3 linked regions of the Notamacropus eugenii genome follow. The protein of the gene in region 3 purifies or fractionates together with the protein of the main gene of each other region. This does not show direct contact. Links are inferred from orthologs where the notes say so. Each region holds a gene or a part of one and is shown on either strand. Other genes may lie near its edges. The genes, in order: CXXC1, BOD1L1 and SETD1A.

Evidence for each region.
Region 1: the proteins of SETD1A (region 3) and CXXC1 purify together in Homo sapiens (affinity purification with western blotting; 16 studies listed by BioGRID and IntAct, counting the BioPlex papers as one, with this or other methods). This does not show direct contact. The link is inferred for Notamacropus eugenii from reciprocal best matches to the Homo sapiens genes SETD1A and CXXC1.
Region 2: the proteins of SETD1A (region 3) and BOD1L1 purify together in Homo sapiens (affinity purification with mass spectrometry; 3 studies listed by BioGRID and IntAct, with this or other methods). This does not show direct contact. The link is inferred for Notamacropus eugenii from reciprocal best matches to the Homo sapiens genes SETD1A and BOD1L1.

The regions. Positions count from the first base shown.
Region 1 is NC_092879.1:101,927,067-101,937,694, reverse strand, and holds the start of CXXC1 (CXXC-type zinc finger protein 1), read right to left. Parts: upstream 3,917-10,628; 5' UTR 3,824-3,916; coding exon 3,716-3,823; intron 3,579-3,715; exon of another isoform or gene 3,371-3,578; intron 3,359-3,370; exon of another isoform or gene 3,252-3,358; intron 3,089-3,251; coding exon 2,967-3,088; intron 2,654-2,966; coding exon 2,553-2,653; intron 2,450-2,552; coding exon 2,214-2,449; intron 1,983-2,213; coding exon 1,824-1,982; intron 1,719-1,823; coding exon 1,671-1,718; intron 1,328-1,670; coding exon 1,172-1,327; intron 725-1,171; coding exon 354-724; intron 167-353; coding exon 1-166. Other genes in the region: synaptonemal complex central element protein 1-like, read right to left, coding at 7,126-7,221, 7,355-7,472. UniProt on the Homo sapiens protein: Transcriptional activator that exhibits a unique DNA binding specificity for CpG unmethylated motifs with a preference for CpGG.
Region 2 is NC_092877.1:66,179,869-66,189,958, forward strand, and holds the start of BOD1L1 (biorientation of chromosomes in cell division protein 1-like 1), read right to left. Parts: upstream 4,802-10,090; 5' UTR 4,773-4,801; coding exon 4,440-4,772; intron 1-4,439. UniProt on the Homo sapiens protein: Component of the fork protection machinery required to protect stalled/damaged replication forks from uncontrolled DNA2-dependent resection.
Region 3 is NC_092874.1:377,754,902-377,765,707, forward strand, and holds the start of SETD1A (histone-lysine N-methyltransferase SETD1A), read right to left. Parts: upstream 3,981-10,806; 5' UTR 3,888-3,980; intron 3,866-3,887; exon of another isoform or gene 3,729-3,865; intron 3,505-3,728; exon of another isoform or gene 3,419-3,504; intron 2,940-3,418; exon of another isoform or gene 2,648-2,939; 5' UTR 2,633-2,647; coding exon 2,495-2,632; intron 2,297-2,494; coding exon 2,198-2,296; intron 406-2,197; coding exon 135-405; intron 1-134. Other genes in the region: ORAI3 (protein orai-3), read right to left, coding at 7,113-7,829, 9,541-9,771. UniProt on the Homo sapiens protein: Histone methyltransferase that catalyzes methyl group transfer from S-adenosyl-L-methionine to the epsilon-amino group of 'Lys-4' of histone H3 (H3K4) via a non-processive mechanism.

The sequences.
Region 1 (10,628 bases), on a different chromosome or scaffold from region 3:
GACAGCCTCCAGCTCGTGAAAGCGACGTTCCATGTCCTGCAGGCGCATCCGAGCCCCCTGCTGTTCCCTTCGGATCCGTTCCAGAAGCTTCTTTCCATGTTCTTCTGCGATACATGGGCTTTGCTGCCACTGCTGGATTCGCTGGGGTAGGATCTCATAGATACGACTGCCAGGGAAAGAGGGCAAGATATGCATGGGAAGGGATCCCAGAGGGCAGTTGGTCTCTGGAGTCCTCCCCAGGAGCCACACTAGCTATAGCTTTCTGCTAGTAGAAGAGCAGGAGTGGGACAAAATGGGGAAAGAAGTCAGGCCTCATGTAATGTGGGCAAGAGATGGGGGGATGGCATCCTCACTTGGCAGCCAGCTTCATGCCACAGTCATCAGAGCAGTACTTGGAGCCTGGCTGGGCAGCCTGGACACAGCTGGGGCCCAGACACTGGGGCAAGGAGGCTGGGTCTTTGGCATCTGGGCGTTCAATGTGTTTCCACTTCTCTTTGTGCCTCTGCTTCTGCCGGTGACGCTTATATTTCTCCTCCTTCTGGGGCGGGAGGGGGAAGCTGGTGAGCCTCTGGACAGTTCCCCACTGCCCACCACTACCGCCTCTCCTGCTACTCACTTTTTTCTCTGACTTCTTCTCCCGCCGCTTGACATGTTTTACTTTCACTGCACGTTTCCGAAGTACTGGGTCCAGGAAAGGTGCATCCTCAGGGTCACTCAACCATGGCTGGGAGCAGGAAGGCATAGGCCACTGAGCCCATCACCCCTCTGCTCTGACCAGGTTGAGAAGGAGCCAGCAGAAAGGCACTGATTGGCCCTTTGGGGAATACTGTCTAACCACTACAGGCTCCGAGCCACGACAAAAAAAGAGTGTCCTTTCTCTCCCCTTGAATACATAAAATTCTAAATTGAGAGTTGGAATAGACCTTGGAGGCTGTAGAAATCCAATCTTATTACTTGCCCCAGGTGAAATAACTTGCCTAAAGATCCCAAGACTTCCGACCCACATGCTTACACCCCAAATCTAGCACCCAGTCCGTATTTCATGCTACCTCATGCTGGAGAAGACACTCCAAGGTTCTAAGCAGAGAAAACAGATAAAGGACCTACGTGAAGGGGCTTTCCAGAGGCCCAGTCTAATCTGCACAAGAAGGAACAGGGCCCAGCCCCTCACCAAAGTATGGTCATCGAAGGCGCCAGCACAGAAGTCCTGATAGAGCTCAGGGTCCAGAGGCAGATCCTCATCAGAGAGGGCTTCAGGGGTGGCCACGGCCTCTGGGGGCTCCTTTAACATCTGGAAATGTTCTTCCCGTGCCCGAAGAAGTTTCTGCTATGGAGGAAGCAGCGGGTGCTGTAGGTGGGCAGCCCAGGAGATTGCAGAACCAGGAGGCAATCCCTTAGATCAATGCTCTTAATGGGAGGGAAGGGAGGCCCAGAGAGGGGAAAGGGCCTGAGCTGCCTGATCCTTGCCTGGGGCTCCTTCTAATATACTGTGGGGAAGAGGGAAGTGAACAGGGGATACAGAATGGTCTGCAGGAATTAGCAATTCTAGCAACTGCCCCCTAAATGGGCCAAGCTGCCCCTCCCCCAACATGGTTCCTGGACTTGGGGTTATTGGAAGGGCAGTACCCCAAAGAAGAGGAATGTTTTCCAGTCCTAACCCCAACACTCACCACAGCTGATGCCAGACTCACCGAGGAAGGGAAATACTTATAGGATTCCTAGAAAAAGAGAAAAGAGAAGCGTGCGGGAGGTAAAGGGGAGGTGTGGGTTAGGTGGGGGTCAGCTAGGCCCAAACCTTCTAGAGCCACCTTGTGCTCTCTCACCCGGGCTCGGAGCTGGCATTGCCGTAGACGGCACTTCTGGCGGATTTTGTTGGGGCCCCCAAACTTCTTCATGTCACGGCAGAAGTCACAGTGACCACAGTCCTCTGTCCGTCGGCAGGCCTCACACTCCCCACACATGCGGGCTGACCGTTTGATCTGCTGTTGGGGGGAATACAGTAGGGGAGGACAGAACATGGGGGAGAGACACTCCTAGGATTAGCACTGTTCTAAGAAGATCTTTTATCATCATAAATGCCCTACAATAAAGAAGGATATACCATAAAACCCTGGGACCCCATATTCTTTTCCAACTCAAAGTTCCCTCCTCCTGGTATAAGCCCTAGATTTTACAACTCTATTTCCAAGTGTCAAACTTCTCTCCAAGCTCACCTGGTTGGATACCTCTCGTCCAGGCCCAGGGGCTGAGGGAGGTGGGGCCTTGTGGGGAGAGGTGAAGCCCTTGGGGATGGTCATGGGCCCACTTCCCACAGTCTCTACAAGGAGATCTGAGGCAACCTTCCTCTTTGGGGTGGTCGCGTCGTCCCTGGGCTCAGTCTCGGGTTCCCCATCACGCTCACGGCATGGTTTTTTATGCCGGTATCGGATCTCCAGCTTTGGGTCTTTTTCTGTCCGGGAAATGGGCATAGATTGAGGGATCCCTCTGTTGCTAGCCAAGATTCCCCCTAAATGGGCCCCCATAACCCCCAGGCTCCACCCCCCAAGACTCACCCCGGCACTGCAGGCAGTACCACTCCCGGATGGCCTTTGCCATCTTCTCTGTGATCTTGATGCAGTCACCATGGAACCACTCATTGCAACTGTCACAGCCACTGCACAAGGGACAGAAGCAAAGAATCTGAGATGTGTGTGAGGCTTGGAAAGCTAGGGGCCCCTTTCCAGTGCATTCAGCTACAAGGCTTCTCTGGAAGTTAAGTCTGACACATGGGAACCTGAGACCTGCTCTCTGAAGGAGGATCTCCATAAATGCTCCTCTTTTCCCCAGTGCAAAAGCTCTTTTGGGGAGCCGAGCCCTGCGGTCCTGCTTGGAGGAGCCCTCCTGATGGCCAATCAAACCTGACTCCTCCTCCAGAGAGCTCCCCAGACTGAGCCCACCCACCTACACCCTACAACGGGTGTTCTCACATCATGAAGCAGTTGATATCGGGCTTCCGGCAAACACAGTAAATGGGCGCATTCTCCCCGATGTCCGACTTAGATTCTTCCCCGCCGGTGGCCCCAGGCTCTGGGTCTGAAAACTCACTCTCCTGTAAGGTCACAAAAGCAGAGGGAATCCCTCAGTCTTCTTGCCCCCGCCCACTTCCCAGACCCCTCCCCTCCTCCCTTCTCCTCCATGCCCCGCCCAGGCTCGGCCCTGACTCAGTCTTCCCTCCTCAGTTCGGTCTTTTCCTCTAGGTCTCACGTTCCCACCTCGTCCCGAACCCCGAGCCAGGTCTACAATTTTTCTCCGGAAATCTCTTCCCCGCCCCCGCCTCCTCAGCCCTGGAGTCCGCCCGGGGTGACCTTAGACCTTCCCCTTCCGCCTCCACCTTCGGGCGGCTTGAACTGCTTCCCAGTCACTGCCCCTCCCTTCCTTCTCCTCCAGGGAGGCCTCCAGGCCCTCCGTTCCTAAACTCCACGACCTTCCGGGAGGCCTCTCCTAGCCTCTTTGCTGGGGGGCGATCGCAGGACCTGGGCTGCTGCGGGCGGCGGCCATGGTTGCTGCGCCCCCCCCCCCCCCCCCCCCCGCCAAGTCCCTCCTTCCCTGCCCGCCCCGCCCCTCTCCGCGGATGTCCCCCCAGACTGAGGAATGCCCCCGCCCCTTCCGTGCTCCCCGGGGTGCCCCTCCTCCCCGGACGGCGCCCAAAGCCACCCAAGTGGGGCCCCCCAGCCACCTCGTCCTGCAGGAAGGCCCCCGGGCTCGTCCCGGACCCGCTCAGCCTCCTCCCCCGGGCTGCCCCCCGGGATTGCCCCGGGCCGGCTCCGCCCCTCGTTCTCACCATGGCGGCGCCGGGATTTCGAGACTCCTTCGAGACAACAACGGGAGCCTCTCCGAGCGAGAGTTGTCCTCGGACCCACTTCCGCTTCCGGTTCTTTCAGCCCTCCGAGGCCTCGTAGCCGTGCGTGCGCAGGCTCAATGCTGCCTTGCCTCGGCGGCCCGGAGGCGCGCAGGCGCACTGCCTAGGAACTGCTGGGCGGAGGGAGGCCCGCCCGGGCCAAGGTTCCGGGTTCTGGGAGGTGAAGGGAGCATGACGGCGGCCGGGCTAGGACGCAGGCGCGTTGGCGGCCTTGGGCCCCGGGGGGGGGAGTGGGGGTGGGGGAAGCTTGGGTTGGCTTTTTGCCTTCCTGGAGCTTTTCCGGCTCTTGGGGCCGTGATCCCGCCACCCAACCCGCCCCTGCCCTTTCCCGAGCGCACGAAGTTCTTGAGGCCCAAGTGCCACCAAAGGGAAGTGAGCAGTGAAAGTGAAAGACGTTACCAGCTACGCCCCAAGAGCCCGACCTGATGGGCAAGTGGGCAGGAAGGGCAGCCCGAACGACCTTCGTGGGCCTCTAGATCAGCCCATGCTATTGCTTTTGCTCTATCATGTCCAACTCTTCGTGACCCCATTGGGGGTTTTCATGGCAAAGATACTGCAGTCATTTGCCATTTCCTTCTCCAGCTCATTTTACAGATGCCGAAACTGAGGCCGACAGGGCCAAATGACTCGTCCAGTGTCACACAGCCAGTAAGTAGGTGTCTGAGGTCTTCCTGACTGCAGAGCCACCTGCAGCGCCACCTAACTTGCCACACTGATCTCTTCTTGATCAGCCATTACATGAACAAAAATCCCTTCCGCCACCAGCCTCTGAGAACCCCTAAGGAAAGGGTACTACCTAAAGCATCGGGTTCCACTTTTACAGGGACTGCTACGAGAGCTCTACTCCTGACATTGAGAGACAAACCAAGCAAAAGTACAGCAGGAGGCAAGGCCAAGACAAAAACAGGATAGAGAAGAGCCCACAGCTGGGCTTATGCCTAGAGGGCATCAGGAGGAGGAGTACCTAGCAAAGTGCACAAGGGAGATTGAAGAGATTCACGTGCTGGAATCAGGTTTGTGTTTTGTTCCCTACACAGTGAGGAATCACTAATGCCATGGACATACCTAAGAATCAGGAGGCTGATTTTGGCAGCTATTTGAAGGAAGAAGAGACTGGAAGCAGTGACAGCACTTTAGAAGCAATTCCAATGGTTTGGGTGAGAGGTAGCCAGTCAGTGAACATTGATTAAGCACCTACTATGTGCCAAGCACCCTTCTAATTGCTGGGAAGACAAAGAAAGAAAAAAGAGAAGACAGGAGATGATGGCCTCTCTTTTTCACAGATGGGTGGTCAGCAGCAAGTGGGAAGCTGACTGAATGTTCTCAGGTGATGAAGAATATATTGATTTTCCCCACACCATGCTTTTGGAAGGGCCTACTAAGGTAAGTGGGGCTTCTCTTCATGGATCCCCCCACACTTAGCCTCTTCTTCAGTCCTGGGGTTTTCTTGAGGTATAGACACCCTTCTCTCTCAGCTTCCATTTCCCTCACAGATGCAGGCATGCTGTTTTCTGTTCCTTTTAAGATTCCTCTTGCCTTGGGGACTTGTCTTCAAGCTCTGGCTCCTGCTCCCCTCTCCTTGTCCCCAACTTCTGTTCCCTTCCTCAGACCTAGGCACACATCTCCTCCTCATGCTCTGCTGAGCCTCTGTTCACTCCCTTGTCTAGGCTACGCTCTTGTGCTGTGGAATGTGCAACTTGAGATGAACGCTCTGAGGGGAATGCTCTGAAACAGCCACCACTGCGTTGCCATCAAAAACTTCCTTAACAAGTGGGATAAGTGGGCCAGTGGCCATGCCAGGGAAACCTGGTTTAACATCCAGGCCCCTTGGGAATGGAGGGGAAACAGGGTGAGTTAAAATGAGGAAATAGGCTTCTGATCTCATCCAAGATAGGAGAAAACTTAGGCCCAGGAAGGAGACTTAACTTGCTAAGGTTATGACAGAGCCAGGATTAGAATTTAGATCGAACTTCCAGTCCACTCAATCAGTTAGAATTCATTAGTGGGATTTCAGTCCCAGTATAATCCCACTACACCATAGGAGAGGAAGATTTAGAGCTAAGCTGGGGGAGAGGGTTGTCTAGAAATTGGAATTTAGGGCTTCTGAGCCTTCCCTCCCATCCCACTGATTTCCAGATGGGCATCACTTCCAGTCAGATCCAGTGGACAACTGATGTTACCAAGTTCCTGCAGATACCTAAAGAGCGCTTTGACAAGAAAGTCCTCAAGGTCATGAGAAAGAAGTAGGCAGGGAACTCTCCAAGCACAGAGTGGACTTGGAGAGAAAATTGAGGAATTGACAATTGGGACTGGCATTAGAGAAGAGTTTGGCAGTTTGATTAGTGGATAGAATGCTGATGGAAAATCAGGATGGACTGGGATTGTGTTTGATAGTGAAATAAAAAGTCAGATGATAAAAAATTAGGGTTATTGAGGTTGAATTTATGATCAGAGTTAGAAACAGAGGAAGGCAAAGTTGCTATATAGGGTACAAGATGCAGTAAGGAAGCAAACGGTGCTACTTTTTAATATTGCTTTTCATAATGTCATAATGTATAATTATTTATTTTGTGTTGCATATGTCTTGTATGATAAGAGCTACAAGATTACCTTGGTAGACAGGAACATATAAAGGGGTGTCATTTTCTTTTAAAAATATATATGTATGCATATAGATATATTACTATATATGGATATGGATATCCTTTATTTTCACATTATCCAGACTTCCGAGGGGTGTATTTTCAAACTTTGCCTGGATATACCAGTTCTTTGTCCTGGGGTCTTGAGCAAGGTCAGAGTTAAGAGGAGGCCATAGCCCCACTACAGGAGGAAAAGAGTGGGAAGACTAGACCAGAGCTCTGGGTCCAAGTGTGAGACACTGTAAAATAGGATGAGTCCAGACCTGGCATATAGGAGGCATGGACCAAGGAGGCTCCAGAGATACTACAGAACTATATAGATCTGGGAGATGGGGGCCCACAGAGTGCTCAAACCCCACCTAAGAAGAAAAGGAAGTCATTAGGACAAGATGGGGGATGGGGGATGGGGGATAGAAATACAGCCAGAGAAAGGGAACAGAACAGAGTTCTTTATTCCAAAGAGTATACCAGACGGTCCCCCATGGTTGAGATGGGGCCAAAGGACCAAACACTGTCTCTCCAAGCTAGGTTCAGACCAGGCTGCAGCTCCCTCCTGGTGCAAATGGGTGAACTCCCTGTGAGGTTCTAGGACAAGACTGAGGCTTGCCCAGTAGGATGTTTCCCTGGGCTGTGGTCAATATTCAGTTCCTTCTCCCAGGCTGTTGGGGGCTCTACAACAGGCTAAAGACCAAAAAAGTGGCTAAGGATCTCCTTGGAACAAAGTTCTAGTAACATCCTTATGCATGGCTGTCTCCCTTCCTTTCTCTTTTCCAGGCTACTGAGTAACCAATGCTGGCGACTCTGGGGTCCTTACCTCCGCTAGGGCCCCCTCTGCAACTACACCACTGACGACTTCAGAAGCTCCCGCAGTGGGGCTCCCCCTGGGCCCTGTGATACCACCTTGACCACCAGCTTCCAGCTCCATCTTCAGCCTGGCAGGGGAAATGTTAGAAAGCTGTAGGTCAGGGTGGGAAGGACCTTAGGAGGCTGGGCCAGAGAGAGACCCAAACACACACAAACGCACACACATGCAGAAACACTAACACAAAAAGACATACATAGGCACAGAGGCTGAGCCAGAGAAAGACAGCAAAACACAGAGACCAAGTCTGAGAGATAAGACAGAGACATGCAGACCCCAAAGGAGAGACATGCATCCACACAGAGGGAGAGTGGAGGGGGCACAAACAAAACCCATGTCAGAATACCAAAGGAACTGATGAAAATGTTGGGGAAAAGGAGGCTCAGCAGTACTGATCACCAACTGTAGAATCAGGCAGTCATTATCCAAATGTTCTGGTACTGGCTAAGAAGTTGGAATACAGAAGACATGCAGTTGAAAGCAGCAAGTCAACATCATAAGCTTCTATTGGACAAGTGTAAAGACCCAAGATTTGGGCAGAAGAATTCATGATTTGGTAAAAATTGTTGGGAAAGCTGGAAAGCAGTCTGGCTGAAATGGGGCAGAGACCACTATCCTACAGACTTGCATAATTTACCAAGATAAGGTCAAAATGGATACAATGACCTAGATGTAAAGACAACTAGAAAAACATGGAACACATCACCTATGAGACCTAGGCGTAGGAGAACAATTCATGAAGAAACAAGGAATAGAGAGCATTGTGAATGTACAAAATGGATAATTTTGATTACATTAAATTAAAAGTTTCATACAAATAAAACCAAAGTAAACAAGATCAGAACAAATGCAGAAAATTGTGGGAAAATTTTATAGACAGTTTCTCAGATAAAGGTCTCATGTCTCAAATATTTTATCAAATTTATGAGAGTATGAGTCATTACCTAATTGATAAATGGCCAAAGAATATGAACAGGCAGTTTTTCTTTTCCTTTTTTAATTAATTAGTTTATTTTTAATTTTCAAAATTTACTTCCACAAGATTTTGAGTTCTAAATTTTCTCCCCTCTCCCCCTTCCCAAGACAGTGTGTAATCCAATATAGGCTCTACGTATACATTCCTATTATATATATTTTCACATTAGTCATGCTGTATTGAAGAATTGGAACCAATGGGAGGAACCATGAGAAAGAAAACAGCAACCAAAACAAAACAGAGTAAATAGTCTGCTTTGCTCTGCATTCAGACTCCATGGTCCTTTCTCCTGATGTGGACAGCATTCCCATCATGAGTCTTTTGGAGCTGTCTTAGATCCTTGCACTGCTGAGAAGAGCTAAGTCTATCAAAGTCAGTCATCACACACTGGCTGTTACTGTGTACAGTGTTCTCCTGACTGCTTGCTTCACTCAGCATCAGTTCCTGTAAGTCCTCCCAGGTTTTTCTGAAGTCGGCCTCTTCATCATTTCTCATAGCACAGTAGTATTCCATTACATTCATCTACCACAACTTGTTCAGCCATTCCCCAATGGATGGGCATCCCCTCAATGTCCAGTTCTTGGCCACCACAAAAAGAGCTTCTATAAATATTTTTGTACATGTGGGACCCTTCTCCCATTTTTATGATCTCTTTGGGATGCATCCCTAGAAGTGGTATTGCTGGGTCAAAGGGTATGCACGTTTCATTTTTATAGCCCTTTGGGCATAGTTCCAAATTGAAACAGGCAGTTTTTCGATGAAGAAATTAAAACTATGTATAATCATATGAAAAATGCCCCAAATCATTATTGATTAGAGAAATTCAAGCCAAAACAACTTTGAGATATCATTCTGTACCTATTAGATTGACTAAAATGAGAGAAGGGGAAAGCAAAACATGTTGGAGGGGATGTGGAAAAATGGGGCACTAATCCACTGTTGGTGGATCTGCAAACTAGTTCAACCATTTTGGAGAGCAATCTGGAATTATGTCCAAAAACTGTCTATACCCTTTGACATAACAATACCACCATTAGGCCTGTTTTTCCAAAGTGAAAAAGAAAAGAACCTATATGTTCTAAGATATTGATAGCAGCTCTCTTTGTGGTGGCAAAGAACTGGAAATTGGGGGAATGTCCAACAATTGAGGAATGACTAATGGGATACTACTGTTGCATAAGAAATGATGAGCTAACGTGCCATGATCCATTACGATTGACTTAGTTCTTTTCAGCAATACAACAGTCCAAGACAATTCCAAAGGACTTCTGATGGAAAATGCTATCCACATCCAGAGAAAGACCCGATGGAGTCTGAATGCAGATAGAAACAGACTATTTTCACTTTTTATGTGTTTTTTTCCCTTTTGGTCTGTTTCTTCTTATACAACATGACAAATATAGAAATATATTTCACATGATTGCAGATATATAACCTATATCAAATTGCTTACTGTCTTAGGAAGGGAGGGAGGGAGGAAATTTGGAACTGAAAATTTTATTTAAAAAATTAATGTTAACAATTGCCTTTGTTATTGAAAATGTAATTGGAAAAAATAAAATACTATTTTTAAAAAATGAAGAGCTGATGGATTTTAGAAAAACATAGAAAGATTTCCATGAAATAACGAAGAGTAAAATGGGCAGAACCAAGAGAATGTTATACACAGTAACAGCGATATTGTTCCAAGAACAACTCTGAATGACTAAATCATTTTGAGTTAATTATAAATACTCAAATCAACGACAAAAGACCCATGAAGGAAGATACTATCTATCTCCACAGAAAGAAATGATAAATGGAAGAATACATACGGTTTTACATGTATATATGTATATATATAAGATATATATATACATACACACTTTCACATACATATATGTGTCTAATGGTTGCATTTTCTAAGGCAGGGTGGGGAGGTAGGGAGAAAAAAATACAAAATATATAGCAGAGAGCAAAAGTGAACTTCGAAGGAGGCTCACAAAAGCAGGCTGCCTTTGAAAACGATGTGGAGAAGAAAGAGCCAGCTACACACAGCCACACATCGAGGAGGCCAGACACACACAAGGAGAAATAGACACAGATAAATAAGGTGACATAGGCTTCAAGAGAGAACGCTCATATAGGGTTAGAGGGAAAACACACACTAAGAGAGTCACACAGAGAAATAGAGGAACATAAAAACAAAGAAAATGACCCAAAACAGCAGCAGAGACAAAAAATGACACACACATACCCCACCTCCCCCAA
Region 2 (10,090 bases), on a different chromosome or scaffold from region 3:
TGTGGCAGCGGGGCGGGGATGTGTATTCTAAGATATCTCAGAGCTCTGGAGCCTTGGTAACTTGGTGGAATGATGGGGTCATAAGCAGAATTAGGGAAGTCAGAAAATGCTGGTTTGAAGGGAATAATGAGGCTGGTTTTTGACATGTTATATCTTAGTACAGGAAGAAATTCAGATGGAAATACTCAATAGGCAGCTTAAATATCTGCTTAATTTGAGGCACTTATCATTTTCCCAACATCATGTTGGGCTAATCATTCAACCTGGCTAATCAATGGGTCTTTTCTATTAATTTCTTTCATTGAAATTCTATTTAGCTAGCTTTCAGATGTATGATATCTGCTTAAAATTCAGTATGAATTTTTTTTTTATCCTTATATAATTCTCTTTTATTTCCCTAATTTACTCCTATTTTTGTGAGGTAACATGGAGAAATAGATAGAGGGCCATTTTTGGGGTCAAGATTATCTGGGTTCAGGTCCTTCCTCTGACACAAATTAGCTAGTGACTGGAGTTGACTTGCTGTTAACAGGTAACTCTCTAACTTTAAGTTCAAAATATCTGTCAATTTTCCTCAGTGAAAAGTTTCTGCACAAGAAACACCCATCAAATCACTATCACAATTTTTATGTCACTACCACTCCTCCCAAGGAGAAAAGATTTCTTCTGATAATTCAAATCCATGCAACTCTAAAAGTCATCTCCTTCCTTTTCAGTATCTTCAGCTGACGTAAAATTTTTTTTATCTATACCATACTGCAAAACTCTACTCCACTCAATTCAAAATGCTTCATTTCCATTGCTGAATAGTAGTTTCAATCATGCCCACTATTTCAAATTAGCTTTGGGAGCAAATTTAAACTTTTTTCTCCCTCCAGTCCTAACAACATTTCCTTCGTTCAACTTTGAACTAACATGTCCTTTTCCAATTCTTACTTTCAGTAGAAAGTTGGTCCAAAGCTACCTCACTGTCCTAACTTGCTGCCCAAATGGAAGGAATTCAATCAATGGCATCACGTGTTTGTTTTTTTAAATAAATGTATTCTTTCTTTGTTTAACTACTGCTTGTTTTAAACTTAAAAGATGTTGGTAGTAATTCCCTTTCAATATTTCTCTTCTTCCTTGACATTACTGTCTAATCTGTCAAAACTAGACTATAATCACATGGAGGAGGGACCTGATTTAATTATTAAACGTGTCAAAAAGTTTATTCTACTTCACAGGAGTGCCATTCCACACCATTCCTTGGTCACTGGGCTATCTCAGCCAAAAGAATCTGGAGTGGGTTGATTTCTCCTACAAATTAGCATCATTATCCATGCCAAATACCAATAATTGAAATATTAGAACCATCCAAGCAATGTGGGTCTTGTTAAGTGTACGTATCTCCATTAGAACCCAGTTCAATTCTGAATCACAGTAGGATCTTCCACACAAGATAGGTTGGTTTCAAAGGATGTCTAGGGTTTTAGTTCATCTGAGGCATGTGAAGGAGGAAAAGAAGGTTGAATTAGAGAAAATGAGAATGTCTCTCTTAGCATAAAAGCATTACCAAAGCCCCCAAATTAGCCTTCTTAAGTAAGACAATCTTTAGGCCTCTAGAACAGTTCAAACAGTTACAGTTAGAACCTACATTTACACCTCAGTCTGTACTTGTCTTTCTTGCAACTCAGTGTAAATGCTGGTCCTAGAACATTTCTCCACACATAAATATTTAATAAATGCTTGTTGAAATTAACCAACAAGCATTTGTTAAATGCTTCCTATGTGACAGACACTGTATTAGGCATTGGGGATGCAGTTTACATTCTAATACAGGTTACTGAATGGACATATGTTAAACATATAAAATCTAGATATGAAATAATTTTGAGGGTAAGGCACTAGCAGCTTGGGAGTGGTTCAGCAGAAGTTTCATGTGGAATGTAATGAGTTGAGCTGTGATGGAAACTCAAGTTTCTAAGAAGTGAGGAGGAAGTACATTGAAAATATGGGGGACAGCCCATACAAAAGCCCTGAGACAGAAGATGGAGAGTCCTGTGTGAGGGACAGCAAGAAGGCAGTCTGAATGGACCAGAGTGTATGAACAATAGGACTAAAATAAAATAAAACTTCTTTTACTGGTGTGCATGCTGAATTGAATGTGATAGCTTAGAGTTACAAGCATCTCTCCTGCTGCTGTGCTCACTAAAGATTATATGAATGTGTTCACATAATGAAATTTTAGAAAAACTTCCTGAGCAGGGGTAAGGAATCTATACTTCGAATGAGATGGCCACAAAATGGCAAGAGGGAACAAAGAATGGAAGAAAATTATTTAGGGACTACCTTGACAATGACTTAAAAAAAAAAAAAGCTCATTTTTCAAGTCAAGATATATTTATTAAGCATCTACTATGTGCCAGGCACTGTGCTAAGCAGTGGGGGATACAGAGAAAGGCAAAAGGAGCTCACAACTAATGGGGGAGACAACATAGGAGCGACTACGTACAAATAAGACCTGTACAAGCAAAGTTGGAGGTAATCACAGAAAGGAAGGCCTTAAAAACTTTTTGAACAAAGTGGGATTTAAGCTCGATTTTGAAAAAAGCCAGGCAAGCCAAAGGATGGAGATAAGATGGGAGAGAATTTCAAGCATAAAGTACAGCAAGGGAAAATGCACAGAGTATAGAAATGGAGTATCTTGTCTGAGGAACGACAAGACCACTGTTACTGAACTGTGCAGTGCAAGGAAGGGCAAAAGGTAGAAGATGCCTGGAAAGGTAGGACAGGATCACGTTATAAAGGGCTGTAGAAGTCAGATCATGGAGGTGGTGGATGGGATGGTGGTGGCAGAGTGACACAGACAGACCTGAACCTTAAGATCACTTTGACAGCTAAGTAGAGGATGGACTGGAGTGACTAGAGACTTAAGGGCAAGGTGATGGGCATGAGTCAATGAGAGCTTAGTACCAGCTTAGTGGCAGCAACAGAGGAGATGAGAAGTCTCAAAGATTTCTATTTTTTTTTTTAATCTGGACCTGTGATTTCATTAATGTACAAAACAGGAAATGCTGGTCTGGAAATTCACTCTATAAATGGGGATCAACAAGTGACTTACCCAAGGTCACATCGCCAGCATGTGTCAAACTTAGGATTTGAACCCAGGTCTTCCTGACTCCAAGACTGGCACTCTATCCACACCACCAGGCTGCCTCTTATATTTTAGATGAGCTTTAGAAAAACTTTGAAGACACGTTCTATTTTGGAAATGTAATTTACCAAAGATGGCAGACCCATTATCGTAATTCTTAAGTAGGAAAGCCTTCCTGGGATTTTTAATAGGAGCTTTCCCAGGATTGGACTGTGGAGTTGGGAAATCAGCCCAATTACTCTGGGCAACAGGTAAAAAAGAGATTCACACAACTAGCTGAGCTCTAAAAAAAAATTTATTTAGAAAAACAAAACCAAAAAACTCAAGGTGCCTTGGGAACAATCTCATTCCCAAACTGTAAGATAAAAAGCCAAAACCGCCCTTCTTAACAGCCACAAATTTTTTTGAGCATTAACAAAAATGTTCTCCTTGGTGGACCAAAATATCCAATGCTCTCAAACAGGGGGGTCTCAATCTCTTTGTTCTTGCTTTTTTTTTTTTTTTTTTGTCACGACCTCCTCTTGTCATCTGGTGAAACCCACGGACTCATTGTTTTTAAATGTGTAAGAAAAACATGTAGGGTTACCAAGAAAATCAATTACATGGACATACAGTTATCAAAATATTAACCTCAATTCAGGAATCCCTGCTCTACAAAGCACAAGGAACCCGCGGTTAGGAAACCTAGCCTCAGCAGCATGACTCCGGGGCTATCCCATCTTGGGCAAGTCACTGTTTCAGCCGCCGGCAAAAGGAGGCAGTTCCTCACCCGGGGTTCCCCAGCTGTATTTCAGTGTAACGACGTCCTCTCTAATCCCACGGACTTGACCTGATGCTTTTTCTTTTCGGAAAGGGAACGCGAAGGATTAAGCAGAGCCTGTGTGGAGACCTCTGGAAATGGTCTCTCAGGTCCTGGCCCCAGTGAACTATCCAGCCCCCCTGCCTGTCCCCACCCTCACCCCTCCCGTCCCGGACACACACACACCCGGACCCTGCGGATTAAGAACCCAATCTAACTCCACAGCCACAACTACAGCAGTTCACACTCGGAGCGCTTCAGGGTCCGCCAGGCGTCTCCCACGCACCCACTCCCCGATCGGCGCCGCGCCGTCCCCCCCTTCACCTCAACTTCCACTCGAGCTGGGGCTTCCCCCCTCCACACCCCCGGCGGCCTCCCTCCCCCCAGCGACCTCCGGGACTGCCTCCGGGGCAGCTGCGGCCCTGCGTCCGCGCCGGGCCCCGACGGCCGGGCCCACCCCGTTCCCTCCAGCCCCGCCGCTCTCCGGGCGCCCCCCGCGGCCCGCACCTTGGTGTCCACGTCGGCCAGGCAGTCCCTGCGGAACTGGTCGAAGAGCCCCTGACTCTTGAGGTGATTGACAATCATGGCTACGAGCTGAGGGTCTCCCGCGCTGCCGCCGCCTCCGCCTCCGCCTCCACCTCCTCCACCGGCGGCTTTTCCGCCGCCGCCGCCGCCGCCGCCACCGCCGGCGGCTGCAGCCCCGCTCCCGCTTCCCGGGCCCGGGCCGCTTGCAGCTCCGGTCGCGGCTCCCGGGCCCGGGCCGGGCGGCGGCGGCGGCTGGGGCTGGGGCGGAGGAGGCGGCGGCGCCGGCGGCTGCTGGGGCTGCGAGTTACTGGCCATGGCGACGGGGGCCGGGCTCCCCACCTCACCTCACCCCTCACCTCACCTCACTCCCAGCCCGGCTTGGCTCGGCCCGGCCCGGGAAGGGACTTCGAGCCTGAGGAGAGTCGGCGAGGAAGCCGACGGGCAAGGCCCACACTAGGGACCTTTTGGAGAAGCTCCCGTTGCCGCCACCGCCGCCGCCGCTTAGTCCCGGCCGCCAACGGGATGTTGTTACTAAACCAGCGGCCTCAGCACGACCCCGGAAGTGAAAGGGAACGCGGAGGGGGGGAAGCGAAAGGGGCGGTGATAGCGACGGTGGCCAGGAAGGCACAATTCCGCCTCGGCGCTCTGGACGGTCATATGCCTAGGCCAGTCCCCGGAGGGGCGGGGCCGTGGGGCACCTACGGCTCTTCGCGTGTCCGCTCTGTTCGGGTCGCGATCGGCGGCTGGGGAGGATCCCGATAAACCCCCAAACCCCGATCTGCCCGTCCTCCCAACTTCCATGTTTGTGTGTAGGGAGCAGGGCCAGGCGCGGGCCACCCCGGGACAAAAGCGTGGCTACGCTCTAGGACGGCCTCCAGGAGCGGCCGTGCCGTGGGGGGAGGGAGAGGGAGAGAAGAGGGGGTGCGGTGAGTAATCGAGGAGCGGGAGAGCCCCGAGAAATTATGTACCTGCCTCGAGCGGGCGTTTAATGCTCCCCTTGGTGAAGAAGCGGGGGGTCAGGGCAGGCTTCCCGGGGGAGGGACGGGAAGGAAGAGGAGGATTCTGGGACTCGGGGTCGGCCCCCCACGTGCCAAGGCCGAGGAGCGGGCCGGCAGGGCCCGCTAACACCCTGCCTGGCAGGAACCGAAGCAGAATGGAGTTCGAGAAGCCTGCAAGGGTGAGGGGGGTTCCCGAGCTCCAGGCTGAAGCATTTTGGGGGTTCCATCCAACAAGCAGTGGCCGGCGGAGAGGCCTGACCATGAGGGGGCCGGTCCGCAGTCTGGGGGTTGGGGCCGGGGGCCGGGACCGAACCGAGCGCCTGCGGAGAGTTCGCACCTGAGAGGGGGCCGTGGGTGGCGCCGACCTGTGCCCTTAACCTCCCCCCCCCGGGAGGCCCTTGCAGCTAGGATGCCCCCTTTACACCTGGGGACCCCGATAAGCCGTCATCATCCCTGGCACGGAGTGCTAGCGCTGTGCCCCTCACGACTCTCCCCTCATGTGGCCCTGGCCCTGGCAGCAGCTCTGATAGTAGCCCCGCTTTACAGAATGACTCGCCCGAGGGTCCCACCGCTAACGAGGATTTGAGGGGGCATCCCGCCGCTCCGTGTGCCCAGCCACCTGGTGCAAATGGGAAACAGTGCACAGGACTTGGCGATTGATTGCCCAGGAGAGGAGAGGGAGAGAGACGAGGCAAGGGTGACCCCATAGTCACTGGGAGATGGGGGTCCTTATGCGTTAGGTAAATTGTATTGCTTGTGACAAAACACTTTAAAAACAAAGGACAAAATGGTTTCATTATGTGCTTCACAATGTATTACATCTTAATATACTTTAGGGAAGAATTTTGTAGCTGGTAAAATAGGAGTTCTTAAAACAAAAATATTAAAATGATTTTTACCAAAATGACAGATTTAGAATTACATTTTAAATGGTTTGACAATAACTTGAAATTCTATGCGACAAGAAAGGAACTAGAAAACTACCAACAGACATAAACATTTCCACCTACAAAAGCCAAAAAGGTAGTAAATATGAACTTTACGCATAGTTTAAAAAAATCTGTCAAATTTATTGGGGTAGTACCAGCATTGCCAAGCTTGACTGAGTTCCCTTTTGAATTTTATTCTATTTTCTGTTAAATATTTGTTCATGTTTTATTAATGCTCTTTTTAAAAATCATCATTCCCTTGCCCCTCCCCACCAAGTCCTCTTTTTAATAAATGTAATGAAACCAAACAAATTTGTGTTGTGTTGGTCATGTCATTAGAATGGAAGTAATGATTCTTTATCTCCAGTACCTAGTCCAGTACCTGGCACATGGTAGGGGCTTAATATCAATCAAAAAAATATTTTTTAAGCACCTACATGCTATAGATGCAAGTGCAAAAAAAAGAAATGATCATTATTTGAACTTACATTCAAATTTCTTAAATAAGAAGAACATATCCACGTAGCATAAATATGAAGTTCACAAATACAAATATATGTAAAATATGCAGATAGATAACAGCTAAATACAATGTAGTTTGGGAGGGAGGGGACTGGCAATTGGGGACAGGGAACCAGAAAAGGCTTGGTGCAGAAAATGGTACTTGAACTTAGAAGAAGAGACTCTGAGAAAGGAGAAAATGCATTTTAGGTGTAAGGAACAGCAGGTCCAAAAGCACAGACTTGGGAGCTAGTGTGGGGTGTGAGGGGCAGAGAGGTCAGTTTTACTGTTTTGCAGAGTGTGGGAGTACTATCCAATCAGCCTGTAAAGGTAGATTGGGTCAGTTTGTGTAGGGCCTTAAAAGCAAAGCAGAGGCCTTGATATTTTATTCTGGAGGCATTGGAAGATATTGGAGTTGGTTTCCAGAGGGGTGGGGAACCTGTGGCCTTCTAGGTCCTTGGGTGTAAACGTTTTGACTGAGTTCAAGTTTTACAGAACAAATTTTATTAAAGGGATTTGTTGTATGAAATTTGGATTCGGTCAAAGGGCCACACTTGATGTCCTAGAGGGCCACATGTGGCCTTGAGCCTGCAGGTTCCCCACCCCTAGTTGTGTTCGTCCTTTGCCAAAGAAGACCATGACTTGCACTTGACTTTGTTATGAGTGAGGGAGGGCTGTGCAGGTCACTAGCCTCACTTCTCCAGAGCCATCTGAATCCAGTGACCAGATATTCATTAGGATGACTGGAGATGACCCAGGATGCAATGGGAGACTTTGGCCCCTTTAGGTCAAGGCATATTCAGTACTCACTTAGGGTGAGGTAATGCTCGTTCATTGGATAGACCTATTTAAGAAGTAGTTAGGGGATGGCCCCATTAGTGAGGCAGAGAAAAATAGCTAAATCAGGCTGGGAAGGTCATTGCTCCCTTTATGGACACGCTTACAACTTCACACCACGTGACCCTCTAAAGTTCAAGACCACCCCTAGTAGAGGAACACAGAAGATGCTCACCTGGGATTTGAGATCAGGGAGCTGGAGGAACTTCTCAGGTTGGTGAGTTTACACAAGCTAGGGCAGTGGGGCAGGGATGCTCAGGGGTAGCCTTTGTAGACTTGCTTGGTTTTTCCTTTATTTTCTCAAGGATTCCCCCACACACACTTTTCTATTTTTTTTCCTCATCTTTTTTGGTGGAAGAGTGAGGGTACTGGGCCTCAGTTTCACGTCTTTAAGGATCTGTAAGGACAAAGCCAATTCCCTTGGCTTCTCTGTACTCTGCCATCTTCTAGGAAGTCTTTATGTTACCATACTTTTAATGAAAGATTTAAAACATCTTTTGAAAACAGGATGTTTCCAAGGAAGGATAATGGATTGAGTATATTAATTGTTTCTGTTAAAGATCTTCAATATTCTTTTAAGGACCTCTGAAAGTGGGTGCATGAAATAAGTATGTTACTACTTCTCTCTATTATGCTCTGCATTCCCCATTTCTCCATCTGAGTATGAATTTTCTTTGAAGTGATACTGAGATTTTCTGGTTTCTGATTGTACTATCAAAATTTGCCATAATGTTGTGTCACAAAACCAATAGCGTGATGTGTTAGAAAGTACGTTTCACTTTGAGTCAAGAGACCAGGGTTGAATATCAGCTTGACATCATCTTAGTGAAGGAAGACTTCTGGCCTTGCCCCAACCAGCCTTTCCTCAGGGTTCATGCTTGGCCTAGCAATCTAAGTGGATAGAGGTGGCCCTGGAGTCAGGAAGATCTGAGTTCAAGTTCAATCTCAGACACTAGCCGTGTTACCCTGGGTAAGTCACTTCCCCTCTGTTTGCCTCAGTTTTCTCATCTGTAAAATGGGGATAATAATGTCATCTGCCTTCCAGGGTTGTTGTGAGGCCAAAATGAATTAATAATTGTAAAGTGCCTGGGACATAGTAAGGGCTATATAAACGGCTATTATCATTGTTGGAAAGTACACAAATCTCAGAACTTCAGTAAAAATAAAATAGAAATAATATTTTCACCACCTCACAGAATTAGAAGGAAAGTGCTTCTGTAAGCCTTGAAGCACTCTCTAAATGAGTTTTCTCATCATTATGCCTTGGTAGCATTGTCTTTTCCAAACTGATTTGCTTTTAAGGTTGACTTCCCCCTTCTAGCAGCTATCCCAGATCATAGGTTAGATTTGTTATAAGTCATTAAGCAGCACAATCTCCCATTTTGTTAATTATTGCCCATTTAGAGCAAGTATGTTTTTCTGTATAGCATGGGGGTGAGGGATAGTAGAAACCTTGAAATGAAACACGTACTTTAAAAAATTTTTTTAAAAACTGTAATGAAGGTACACTTCAGAAAGAGCTGGTTTTAGGGAAAAAAAGTTCTTTACCATCAGTGGTGTCAAACTCAAACAGAAATTGATCCCTGTGGGGGATGGATTCAATTCAGCATATTGACTTCAAAACCCACAAATTAACATTATTTATATTGGGTTTTGTTTTTTTTTTTATTTTTATTTTATTTTATTTTGCATTTCACCTCTGTTTTCATCATGATTTTTTAAAAAGCAACAACTTTTATATGAATGTGAATTGATTACTTCCAAAGAGATGCAACATTCCTGAAAATGGTGTCATTACCAGGAGAAGCAAAGGGTTATATTTACATATAAGCTTTTAAAAAAGTCATGGAGTAAATCAATCATAGGAAAGCAATTGCTTTAGGCTTCATGATGCTTCTAGAATATAGTTCAGTTTGAAGCTGTCAGTGCTACCTTTATGGGTTTAGGTATGGTTTCCCTGGATATATACATTTTTACGTTTGCTTATCAGCAGTTTTCTGACATGAATAAAGGGCCATGATTAGAAAGGAAGGGTTAATAAACAACACAGCGGAAGCACTAAACTGGCTTGGTTGGATGGGACTTTGAATGTCTCACATGGCAGTTTCTTTGAAGAGAACATATTTTGACAGAGGAAATATATGGTACAATTAAAACCAAAAAGTGGGTTTCTTATTAGCAAAATGTTTCTATCTGACATGAAATGAATTTGCGTGAGTGTTAACATAAGCATCTTTTGAATGCCTACTTGGTGCTTAGCATTGTAATCGGCAGACAACTCTTTGAGGGAAGGAATCAGCATATTTATACTTTGTATTTCTCTAAGTACTTGGCACTGGGCACTTCACAGGTTAAGTACATAATAAAT
Region 3 (10,806 bases):
CACATGAAGTCAGTTTCTCTCACCCATCTCTAACTTTAGGATCTCAATTCTTCTTCCTTTCCCAAATTATCTAGATTTTTTTTTTTCCAAATAGGAACAGATCAGGATTGTAAGAGATAGGCAAGGGACATCACCTTTGATGTCAAGCTGGGCGTGGATGATATTGCCCATGACCGGGGTGTGATGGAGATGTTTTACAGTCTCTTTGGCACCCCGAGTGCTGGCAAAGAGCACTCGGGCTAGGCCTAGATGCTTTCGTGTTCGGGGGTGCAACAGGATCTCCACCTCTTCCACCTCTCCATACTTTCGGCACATGTCCTTCAGGAAGGTCTCCCGAACGTTGTCATTCAGCCGGGCAAAGGTCACTTCCTTCAGTGGGACCTGCCCGATGTAGAACTCGTCAAGCTGTGGAAGGAAAGCAGAAGCTGGGTCAGGATCCAGAGTCACCCTGGCATGAAATAGAGCCTTCAGGAAGATCTGCTCATGGACAAGAGGCAGAGCCATAGGACACTGAGCCTTGGTCTGTAGATTCATGTGTATGTGTTATGGGCAGGAGGGATAGGCAAGAGGGAACTCTATTGAACGCTAAGAGAGATGGCTAACAGAGAAGACTTGAATAAGATGATCTCATTGTACAAAATCGTAAAATCATGGTCCTAAACCTCCTCTGAAGTGAATGCAGGAACCAGAAAAATAAACCTCATAAAAAGCCATAGAAGAAGGACCAAGAGGAAAATCTTTACAAAGTCCAAAAACCTGAACACCCAGATGGGGAAAGATAAGACAGAGAAGTCCTATGAAAAGACACAGAACTTAGAGCTGGAAGTAACCTCATAGGTCATCTAGTCCAATACAACTCTGTAGGAATCCCCTCTACAATATCCTTGACAAGTGCTCATCTACCCGAGAAGAGTAGTTAAATAGAACTTATTCCCTTGTCTATACACTTTTGGACCATTCCAACAACTAGAATGATTATCAGAGGTACCTAGGAGGCAGAGTAGATAGAACACTGGGCTAGGAGTCAGGAAGACCTGAGTTTAACTCTGGCCTCAGACACTTACTAGCTGTAACACAGGGCAAATCACTTAATCTCTGTTTGTTTCTACTTCCTCAACCAAAAATGGGGATAGTAACAATACAGACCTCCCAGGATTGTTTTGAGGATCAAATGAAATAATATTTGCAATGGGATTAGCATGGGGCCTGGTCCATAGTAGGTGCTTAATAAATCCATCCTTCCTTCCTTCTCTTATTTAGACAAAATCTGCCTCTCCTAACTTCCCCTTCTGATTTGTAGTTACAGCTTGAGGCCACAAAACCTAAGAGCACATGAGAATGTAAATAGAGTACTCTGTAAACCTTGGAACACATATATTCTACTTGTTATTCCATGTAACAGTCCTTCAAATATTTAGAGACAGTGACTTTATCTGTTTCTACTTCATAGCCCCCAGTCCCAAGACTAAAACTCTATAGTTCCTTCAAATCTTGTATGTAATGGGCTCAAATTCCTTTAATATCCTCTAGAAAAGTTCCAGATAAATTAATGTCTTTCTAAAAATGTGGCAGCCAGAACTGAGCATATTATTGCAGACGTGATCTGACCAGGACAGAATACAGCGGGAACACAACCCCTCTCATTCAGGACATTGCTTCTATTTAATGCAGCCCAATTCAAATTAGCTCCTCATTTTGTGAGATCTGCAACTATGACAAGCATGCCAAGGAAGATCACAAGACTACATGAGAGTGCAACTTTTGGAACTCCAGAGTCTTTAATACCATCCCTATGATCTAAAGGTAGAGCTGCTACTACTTAGGATACCACATCATTTTTTATACAACACAAAACTCAGATTCAGAAATCACATGAACTAGATTTCTTTTCTGCTCTCATAGCTAAGTTCTCATCAGAATGTCAACCATCCCTTCCCCAAAGGCTAAGGCCACCTTCCTTAACTAAAAAACAACAGCTAATCATAACCTCTAAGGAAAGCCCACCTAGACTCAACCACAAAGTGAAATTATGAATTGCTAGGTCAGGACACTTCACTCAGTTATTCACAAATGCTATGTACAATTTGCTTGTTCAAAGACAAACTCCTTCCTTGGTTGCCTATGTGGATTTGCACATTTTCCTATAACTGTCACCCTCCATAAAAACTATCAGATCATGAAAGTAATGAAGACTTACCTTAAACTTAGGAACTGGGAGGGAAAGGTCTCTGTTTTTGGACCATGTGAGTCGTTGACGGGGATCTTGAAGCTTGCTAACAATCTTGTATCCTGCATCCTGGGATGAAAGAGATGGGAAGGCAATTTAATCACTTTGGGGGAAACAATTTAAAAACTTAGGCCCAGAGTTGGTTGAAATGTAGGACTTCTAACTTTCTGAAAAAAAACAGTGGGGTACAAAGAGCAGAAATTTTGGGAGACAGAAAATTATCTACCCAAGAACCTTGGGGGGAACAGTTGAGGCAAAATAACTCACATTGACACTGAAGTGAATCCCATCATAGCGGTAAACCTTCTGAGGGAGCCTGTGCAGTGCAGGGTCCACAATGAGTTTGTAGTTTCGCCACTGGAAGTTGGGGGGCTTTTGCCCATCTCCCCCTCCTTCCTGGTCCATCCTGGCTCATTTACACTATGAACAATTAAAGGAAGGGAGTAAGGCCCTGAACTTCCAGTCTTCTTTCATACTTATCTATACCCAGAGCCCTTCCAGGGCCCCAACCCATTCCCCATAGACAACCACAGTCCTTTCAAGGTACCACTTTATGCTCCACAAACACAGACCTCTTTACCCCAAGTGCCTCAGATATACTTGCCCCCAAACACATCCCTGTGCCCCCACAGCTTCCTTTCACCCGCAGTCTTCTGCCACCTGTACATGTCCAACCTTCACCCCATACACACTGCAGAAAGCCCTACCTCCATGGCATCCTTCCCCCGTGCCTCCCTCCTGCAAGTCCCTTTGCCCCCGCACCCAATCCTTCTTCCCTACTCATGCCCTTTACAGCCCCCCCTTTCATACGTATTTCTCTCAGGGCAACTTCCCCCCACTGATAACCCCTCCCCGCCTGCCAATTCGTCCCCACAGCCTGCTCCCCCAAACACATCCTGTCCTCACACATGCTCCCCCCAAGCCCTCCCTCTCCTCACCTCCCCTCCCTCCAGACGCGGCCTCCAGGAGCCCCTTCCCGAGCCCCGCCACACGCCCCCCAGGCCTCCTGAGGTGCCGGGCACCCGCGCCTTCCCCATCGCCGGCGGCCCCGGGACACCGCTTCGCTCCCACTCGCAGAGGGACCCGGACCTGGGAAGCCCTCCCTCAGCCCCCCCGCCCCCCGCCCGGCCCCTCCCCCCCAGCCGGAGGCGCGCCCCTCCCAAGCCCCGCCCCCTCCGCCTGTCTCCTCACCGGCGGCCAGCCAGGGCCGGTGCCCCGCTCTCCGGCCCCCCCTGCCCCTCCACCCCAGCTCCCCGGGGCCCAGGGACCCTGCGGCCCCGAGCCAGGAAGGTGGAACCTTCCTCCGGGGCCGCGGCGGGGCTCCGGAAACGCCGCGAGACCCTCCGGGCCGGCCCGGCCCGGGCCCGGGCCCCGGCGGGGGAGGAGGCAGCGCGCGCGGCACTTCCCTCTCCTCGCGCACCCCCGCGAGCCGCCCCCTCCCCACCCGCGCGCGCAGTCCCCTCCCCGCCGAGCGCGCGCGCGCACCGCATTCTGCACTCACCCGCTCGGGGCGAGCGAGTCGCTCCCTCCCCTTCCCTTCCCCACCTCGCTCCACCTCCGCGGCGGCGCGAGACCCGGGCCCCGCAGCGGCAGCGGCGGCGGCGGCGCCCCCACCACCACCTCCCTCCTCCCCGGCGCGCGCACCAAACACCACCGCCACCTGCGCGAGGCCCGGCGGGCTCTGCGTTCACCGGAGCACATTCGACACGGGCGCCTCCGGGACTCTGGCGGGTGGCAGAGGAGCGCTTCCACCTCTTTCTTCCCTCCGAGCCGCACGGGAAGAAGCAGTGGGGGAAGCCGGCAGGCCGGCCGCATCCCTCGAAGAGCGGACCTCACCAACACTCTCTCCTTGCCCGGTTCTGGACGTGTGACGAATCTGCAACTGCTGAAGCGGCGCCGAGTCCCCGAGGAAAAGGGGGCGGGGCGCACGGGCGGAGGCCGGGCCGGGGATGAGCAGGAGAGGTTAGCTCGTCCGGCAGCCGCAGATTCGCCGGAGGTGAATCGGCGGTAGCGGAACTTGCGCTACTTCCTGCATCGGTCTGGCTGGGAAGAGTAGAAATTCCGGATTCGCAGATTCGCCACAGGCCCCGGCTGCTGGCTTCGTTCGGGGTGCCCGGTCTACATCGGAAAAGCAACGCCAGTGTTAGCGTATGGCCACTCGGCTCCCTAACAGTAGTCCAGTTTGGCCTCTCATCCTTGGTTGGCGTTTCTCGCAAATATCACTAAATTTTCCTACTTTGGCATTAGGCACAGAAGATGGATCCAAACGGACCCGACTTTGAATTAAAGGGCTGGGTCGGAGCGATCCGAAATAGGCTTGTCATCGGAGGGACGAATCTGCAGATCACCGTCCCGGTGCTTGACAGGAATGCGAATCTGCGAGCGGGAACCCGACAGCTAGCGGGAGGGGCGGGGCTTGATAGGAGGCGGGGCGAAGGGCTGCGGCGGGGGCGGGGCTGGGAGTGAAGGGGTGGGCTTCTTCCCAAGTCCCAAGTCGAGCCCCAAAGCTACCTCTCCCCACGTGGCCATTACCGCGGTGCTTTTGACAGGAGTTGCTGGAACTGGCACCGGCGGCGACCTTGAACAAATGTGACAGCTTCTCCGAGCCTCAGGGTTATCTGTGACATGGGGATTATCCACGGCACACCTGGTGGGGCCAGGACGGAGAAAACCGCTCGCTGTGGTCCCAGCGTGCAGACATTATCCGGCTGGGAACACCGGCGTCCGGAGGCGAATGCCTTGACCAAGCATCTCCCTAACCTCCCCTCTCAAAGGATGGAGGCTAGATGATCTCTGAATCCCATGACCTTTTGGGGGCAAAGCGAGGAACAGTGGTGGGATGGCCTCTTGCTTCGGAGGACAGACTGAAAAAGTTTAGGATCTAGAGGAAATGCAATAAAACCTTGGGGGATGGGAAGGGTTGGAGCACCCTGCCCCCATCCTCTGCCAAAAAGGTCTGGAAATACTTTCCTGAACTGTCAATTCTCTGTTCCCAGTTTCTAGATGAAAAGTCCATTACAGACTCCTTTAAGACCCTATGACAGTCCCCCTTCCTAAGCCTCTTGGCATTTATTTGCATGGTCAGGGATTAGGAAATCAGGAGGGGGGGCGTGTTACAGTTCCCCTGGACAGAGAAGGAAGAAGCCACTCTGGCCCCAAGAGATGTCAGAGAATGTGCTAAGATGGGACTGTGCTGGCAGCAAAGGGAGGTACCTAAGACCATTATGTCTGGAGTCCTTGCCCCAGGCTGCATTCCCATGTGTTGGCAGGGCCCTGCTGGTGAGGTCAGTCATTACCCACCACATACCCGGTGAACCCAACCCTTCATCTCCAATAGCTACTTTTTTTTGGTAGCCCACCCATTCATCCCCCACTCCCATCTCCACACTCCTCAGCTTGGCCCACTCAGAGCTTAATCTTTTCTGCTCCTCTCTGAGCCCTGGCACAGCTTGCTATTAGTTTTCAAGACAAGTTTCTATCTTCGTAAATCTGGAAGCTTCCCTCTATGGCACAACCTGCCTAGACTTCTGCTCTCTCCAAGTAACAGCAACCCCTTGGATCTTTACTCCACTTCATCCCCTCCCATCAAGGCACACTCCATTCCTGGAACCCAGACCCCAGTTCCTCAGCCTCTGCCCTCATTGTAGTACTCTACCCTTGCTCTTCAATAACCAGGAATAAATGATCCCATCTGTTGTTCTTCCCTTCCAAGATACAGAGGGCCACCCCTACTCTACCCTCCACAGCCACGGTAATGTGTTTCAAACAAGGTTTATTGTACAAAAAAAAAAAAAGATGCAGTGAAAATTCAATGTCAGAGTTGATCCACCATAATTACAGAGGAGGGATCCCTAGGGTGCTCAGCGTGAGGCAAAGCCTATGTGGGGGTATGATTGGACAGGACCTTCTGCATGGAAGCCTGTTCCTCCTTTAGCAGCCCCTCTCCCCTGTTCCTACCCTGGTCAGGAGGAGGAAAAGATGGAACTTTGAGAGGGACAGGTGATGTTGGCACAAAGACCATGAAAAAAACGCTTTTTGAAGGTAAGGCATCAGAGCCACAGGGCAGTACTTACAATAAAAAGGTCCTTCAATTTGGAGGCAATGTTGTGTGACCTATCCCTAGGGCTCCTAAGAACTTGGAAACAAAATGCAGAAGTTGTAGGTTGGCACTGGAGAACCTACCCAAGTGGAAAGGTGACTGACAATTCCAAGGGGTGGGGAGGGAGTGTAGGGAGACAAGTCTTAGACCCTAAGGAGAACTTATCTCCATTCCATGGCCTTGGAGTTCTAGAGGTAGGACTAAGATTGAATTTGGGGCAATCCTTAAACAGCATGCTTGGGGGGTTTCTTTAGAAAAGTCAGCTCTGGCTTGAGAATTCCTCCAGGAAGCATAAATCTATTGGAGAGAACCTAGGAAATGGGAGGAGCTAACTAACGCTTTAGGTGCTACCAAAATGGGCATAGCTGCCACCAATAAGTTGTCCATGATATGAGAACCATCACAGTCAAATGGATATTTTTCCAAAGAGGATGCCTGTGTGAGGAGGGCCTCAGAATACGCCAAGCCCTATCACTATAGGCTATATGGAAAAGGGAAGGCAAGGGAACTAGGGCTCCCTTAAAGGCCAGCCTGACCTGATGCCCCTCCCCCATTCTCAGGGCTACCCGAGTGAGTTGTTCCACTTTGTTTTGGGTGGTGTGGGGCTCCTCCTCTCAGCCTAGGGCTCCTGGGTCAGGCTGCCAGGGGCCTTCTTCCTGGGCCTACCTTGGGGACACCCTGTAGTTCTGTTGCTGGGGCCCCTTCCAATCTGTGGCTGTGTGAGAGCTGCAGTTCCATCTTCCATTTGTTTCTTCCCAAGGCCCTGTTCCTTCCCTCACTCCCATTTCACACAGCCTGAAGTTCTCCCTGGAGGCGGCTCAGCTCTTCCAGCTCCTGTTGATGTCGGTCCGTTTTATGAGTGACCAGAGATCGGTAAAAATGGAGGGCAAAGGCAACAAAAACCAGGCCCACGGGTACCATGATCACTGTTGAGGCCATTGCGGCATGCCACCCAGGCCCATGTGGTGAGGCTACTGGCCCCTCGCACCTCTGTGAGCAGCTCACAGCCGAGGGCCCAACCCTGGGTGGTGTTTCTGAGACTGAGGTCACAGTTGGGGGATTCAAGGGGACCACTGACTCTGTCAGGGATAGTCCTGGACTTGGGCCCATGGAGGTTGGTGCATCAGGTAAAGGGCTCTCTGGACCTCTTGCAGTCAAGGAGGAAGGGATCTCGGGCACAGGAGCCACCGCAGGCCCCCCAATGGGCATGAACTTCACCCAGCCAACCAAGACCACTTCGGCTAGGAAGAGGAAAGTGCCCAAGGCTGTGGAAAACCCCCAGGCCAGCTCCACATAGCGGTGGAGTCGCTGATGGGGAGACTGGTGGACAGAATTGAGGTTGTGAATGTTGCTGACGGCCTCAATGTGGGGCAGCAGGCAGGTGGATACCATGAGGGCGAAGAGGTGGACGGCCACCAGCACTGTGGTACAGGCACTAAAAGCCACCAGCAGCCCCGGGGGGTAGTCGTGGTTGGTCTCTAGTTGGACCTCCACCATGGCCACCTGGAGAGGAGAGTCAGGGGTTCAAGGACCTGGTTTCTAACTCCCAAACCTTCCCACCTGGACCCAGCTGGTAGACTTTACTCCCTTCATAGAACCTTAGCTTTCTAGCTATATTCCCTCTTTGGATTTAATAGGGTTTACCCAATTACTCTAGAGCTTGATGGAAGGGGAAGGAGAGGGAAGGAGGGCAAGGAGCCAGGTAAGGAGGTAGGAAAAATGTAGGGGGAGGGGAATACTTTGGACCCAGTTATTTTAGGAAATTGGGACACAGCAGATGGCAACAGGTGCTGCTCAAAGCTAGGGATCTGGGCCAGTCTCATCAGAGAAAATGCAACCAGAAGTCCTCCCCCTTCTCTGTGATGATCATCCCAGCACCCTGCTCCCATTTCCCTGGTCTCACATCCTCTTACCCAGCCCCTCTTTTCCATTAAAATTTTAGTAAGCAGCCTTCCAGACTAGAACTCACTCTCTACCCTGGGCTACATTTCCCCTACTGAACTCAGGCATCAGTTCTCCAGCCCTTACAGGAGGGCCTGGCCCCTTAAGCCGTCACCTCAGCAACATGGCAGCAGAGTGAACTGTCTCCCTAGGAACAAGTTTGGGTCTTAGGGCTAAGATTTGCTTTAGCCTTGTGTTATAGGCCTTCCTACAGGGGTGCCCTATTCTCTGGGGTTAATAACATCCTCCACTATCCACATTTTTACCCTTCATTCAGTAACTACTACTCTCCTTAGCAGGCCAAGATTTTCTTTTCCCCCAATACCACCTCCTAGGTTGCCTTGGTCCTCAAAAATTCATCCTGGTCTTTCCCTGAAGAGAGAGAAACATGGAGTGGGGAGAGGTGGGAAGGGAATGGGACAGGGAATGTATGTGTAGTTTGGCCTTTCCCTACCTTTCTCCCCCATACACACTTTTCACCCCTTCAGAGACATAATCTTGCCAACCTCCCCCCCTCCATTTTATGTAAGGAGATTGAGGCCCAGGGAGGTAAAAGTCACTTATGAATGAATGGCAGAGCTCAGACAAGCAGTTAGGTTTGATAACTCCCTGTTCCCTTTCTTTCATCAGGATGACACTGCCATATAAATCTTACTCCATCAAGTTCCGAAGTTCCCCATCTCACTCCTGGCCTGGTGGAAAGGATTCTATACTGGTCTTTTAATCTGGAGATTTGCATTCTAACCACTAATTCACTGGGTGACCTTGGGCCAAGTCACTTCTCTACAACTTCAGTGTCCCCAACTGTAAAATGAAGGTGTGTGATTAGATAATTTCTAAGGTCCCCTGTAGCTCTAAAACTCTGCCATCCTGTACTCCTTATTACTTAATCAGTTATCACCCTCTGGATCTGCATTCCAAAGCTTTCTCACCGGATCTTTCTCTTCTCAAATAGCTTCAAACTCTCTAAGCTCAGGGCATCCTCACCCTGTGGCGCTGTTCTCACCCCACAGAAATTACTGCTTGACTGTAAGTCAGACCAGCATTCAGTTATTCTCAGCTGTGGATTTGCTCCCTTCTGCCTGCACATACGGATTCCGACTCTTAACATGCAGGGTTGGCAGCCTTTGGGGCACCTACCACCAGGAGCCCCCTTGTCCCCCCCATCCAGCATTAGCCTAAGGCTCCTTCCTAGCCTTCCCCTTACCTCCTTCCTCACCGCTCCATCCCCAACGATCCCTTACCCCACTGTCTCAGAAAACAACCTCCTCACCATGGCAAAACCGGACAGCAAGGCAGACGTTCGGCTGGAGGCCTTCAGTTTGGCCCGGCTGAGGTAGAGGCGCCGCCAGCTAAGGGCCCGCAGTGAGTGCTGGCTGGCTCCCATGAGGTCCAGGTAGCCTCGATGCACAAAGTCCCGGTAGGTGGCTGAGCCTCCGGGGCTCTCTCCAGCCTCGGGGTTAAGGGGGGCCTGTTCTCCTGCATCCCCCTCTCCTCCTTTCATCCTGGAGAGTCCAGGAAAATGGGGAGGGGGGAAGGAGAGACCCTGGGGCAGAGACAGGGGTTAAGCTTAAAGGGGAGAGGCTCTGGGAACTGGACTACTCGAGTCCTAAGAAAGAGGGAGCAAAGCCGAGCCCGCAGACTCAGGAAGGGAGGCCAAGTGGCTACAGCGGCACAGGGATAGTTCTAAGAATTCAGAGATGGGGGAGAGCCCTTGGGCATCCCCAGTTTGCTGATCAGCTCTAGAAGTGGGGTGGATGGTAGGAAAAGGAGAGCGGAGCATTAGAACTCGATGGGGCTAGGATGCTTGGGTTCCCGGAAGGAAGGAGTCAGTTTAGAGCCTCAGGCCAACAGAGCCCAGGAGGAGTAGGAGGCGGGAGCCCCAGGGGCCGAGAGGGAGGAGAGGCAGAAACAGGAACTGGCTCTAGGGGCGGGGACGGGGGGCAGCCACATGATGAGGGAGGAGCTGGGGAGAGACCGAATCCTCAGTCCGAGTACTGCACCCAGAAACGTGCCTGCCTTGAGCTACCCTCTCCAGTACTCGGGAATCTTGGTTCCCAGCTTCCTCTTGAATGAATGAAACCGGGTTACTTCTCTTAGCTCCCTAACCCCGGCATCTCCTTGGGGAAAATGTCGGGGCGCGGGGCCGGATGGCCGCAGTTGCAGCAAGGGTCTGCATCTTAGATAGGCCCCTTCCCCTCTGGGTCCGAAGAGTTAAATCTTACGGGGACAAAGTCCCATAAAACCAGCGAAGCCAAAATCTTCAGCTCAGGGCGGAGGATGAAATGAGAATATCTTAACATCCTAAGCGACCCTGGAAAGCAGCCAGTTCAGTCTCTTTCAATGCAGGAATTCACTGTACCTTCCCGAGAGTGCTGCCGAGTCCAGGGACCAGGAGTCCAGGTTTCCTCCCAAGCTACCCCACCTTTCCACTTCAACAAAGTAGACACAGCACAGCCCTCAGCTGGAAGGTTTTATGTTTTATAGCAAACCATATTGTACAATTCCGAGATCCAGGGGGCCTGGGGCCCAGCCCAGC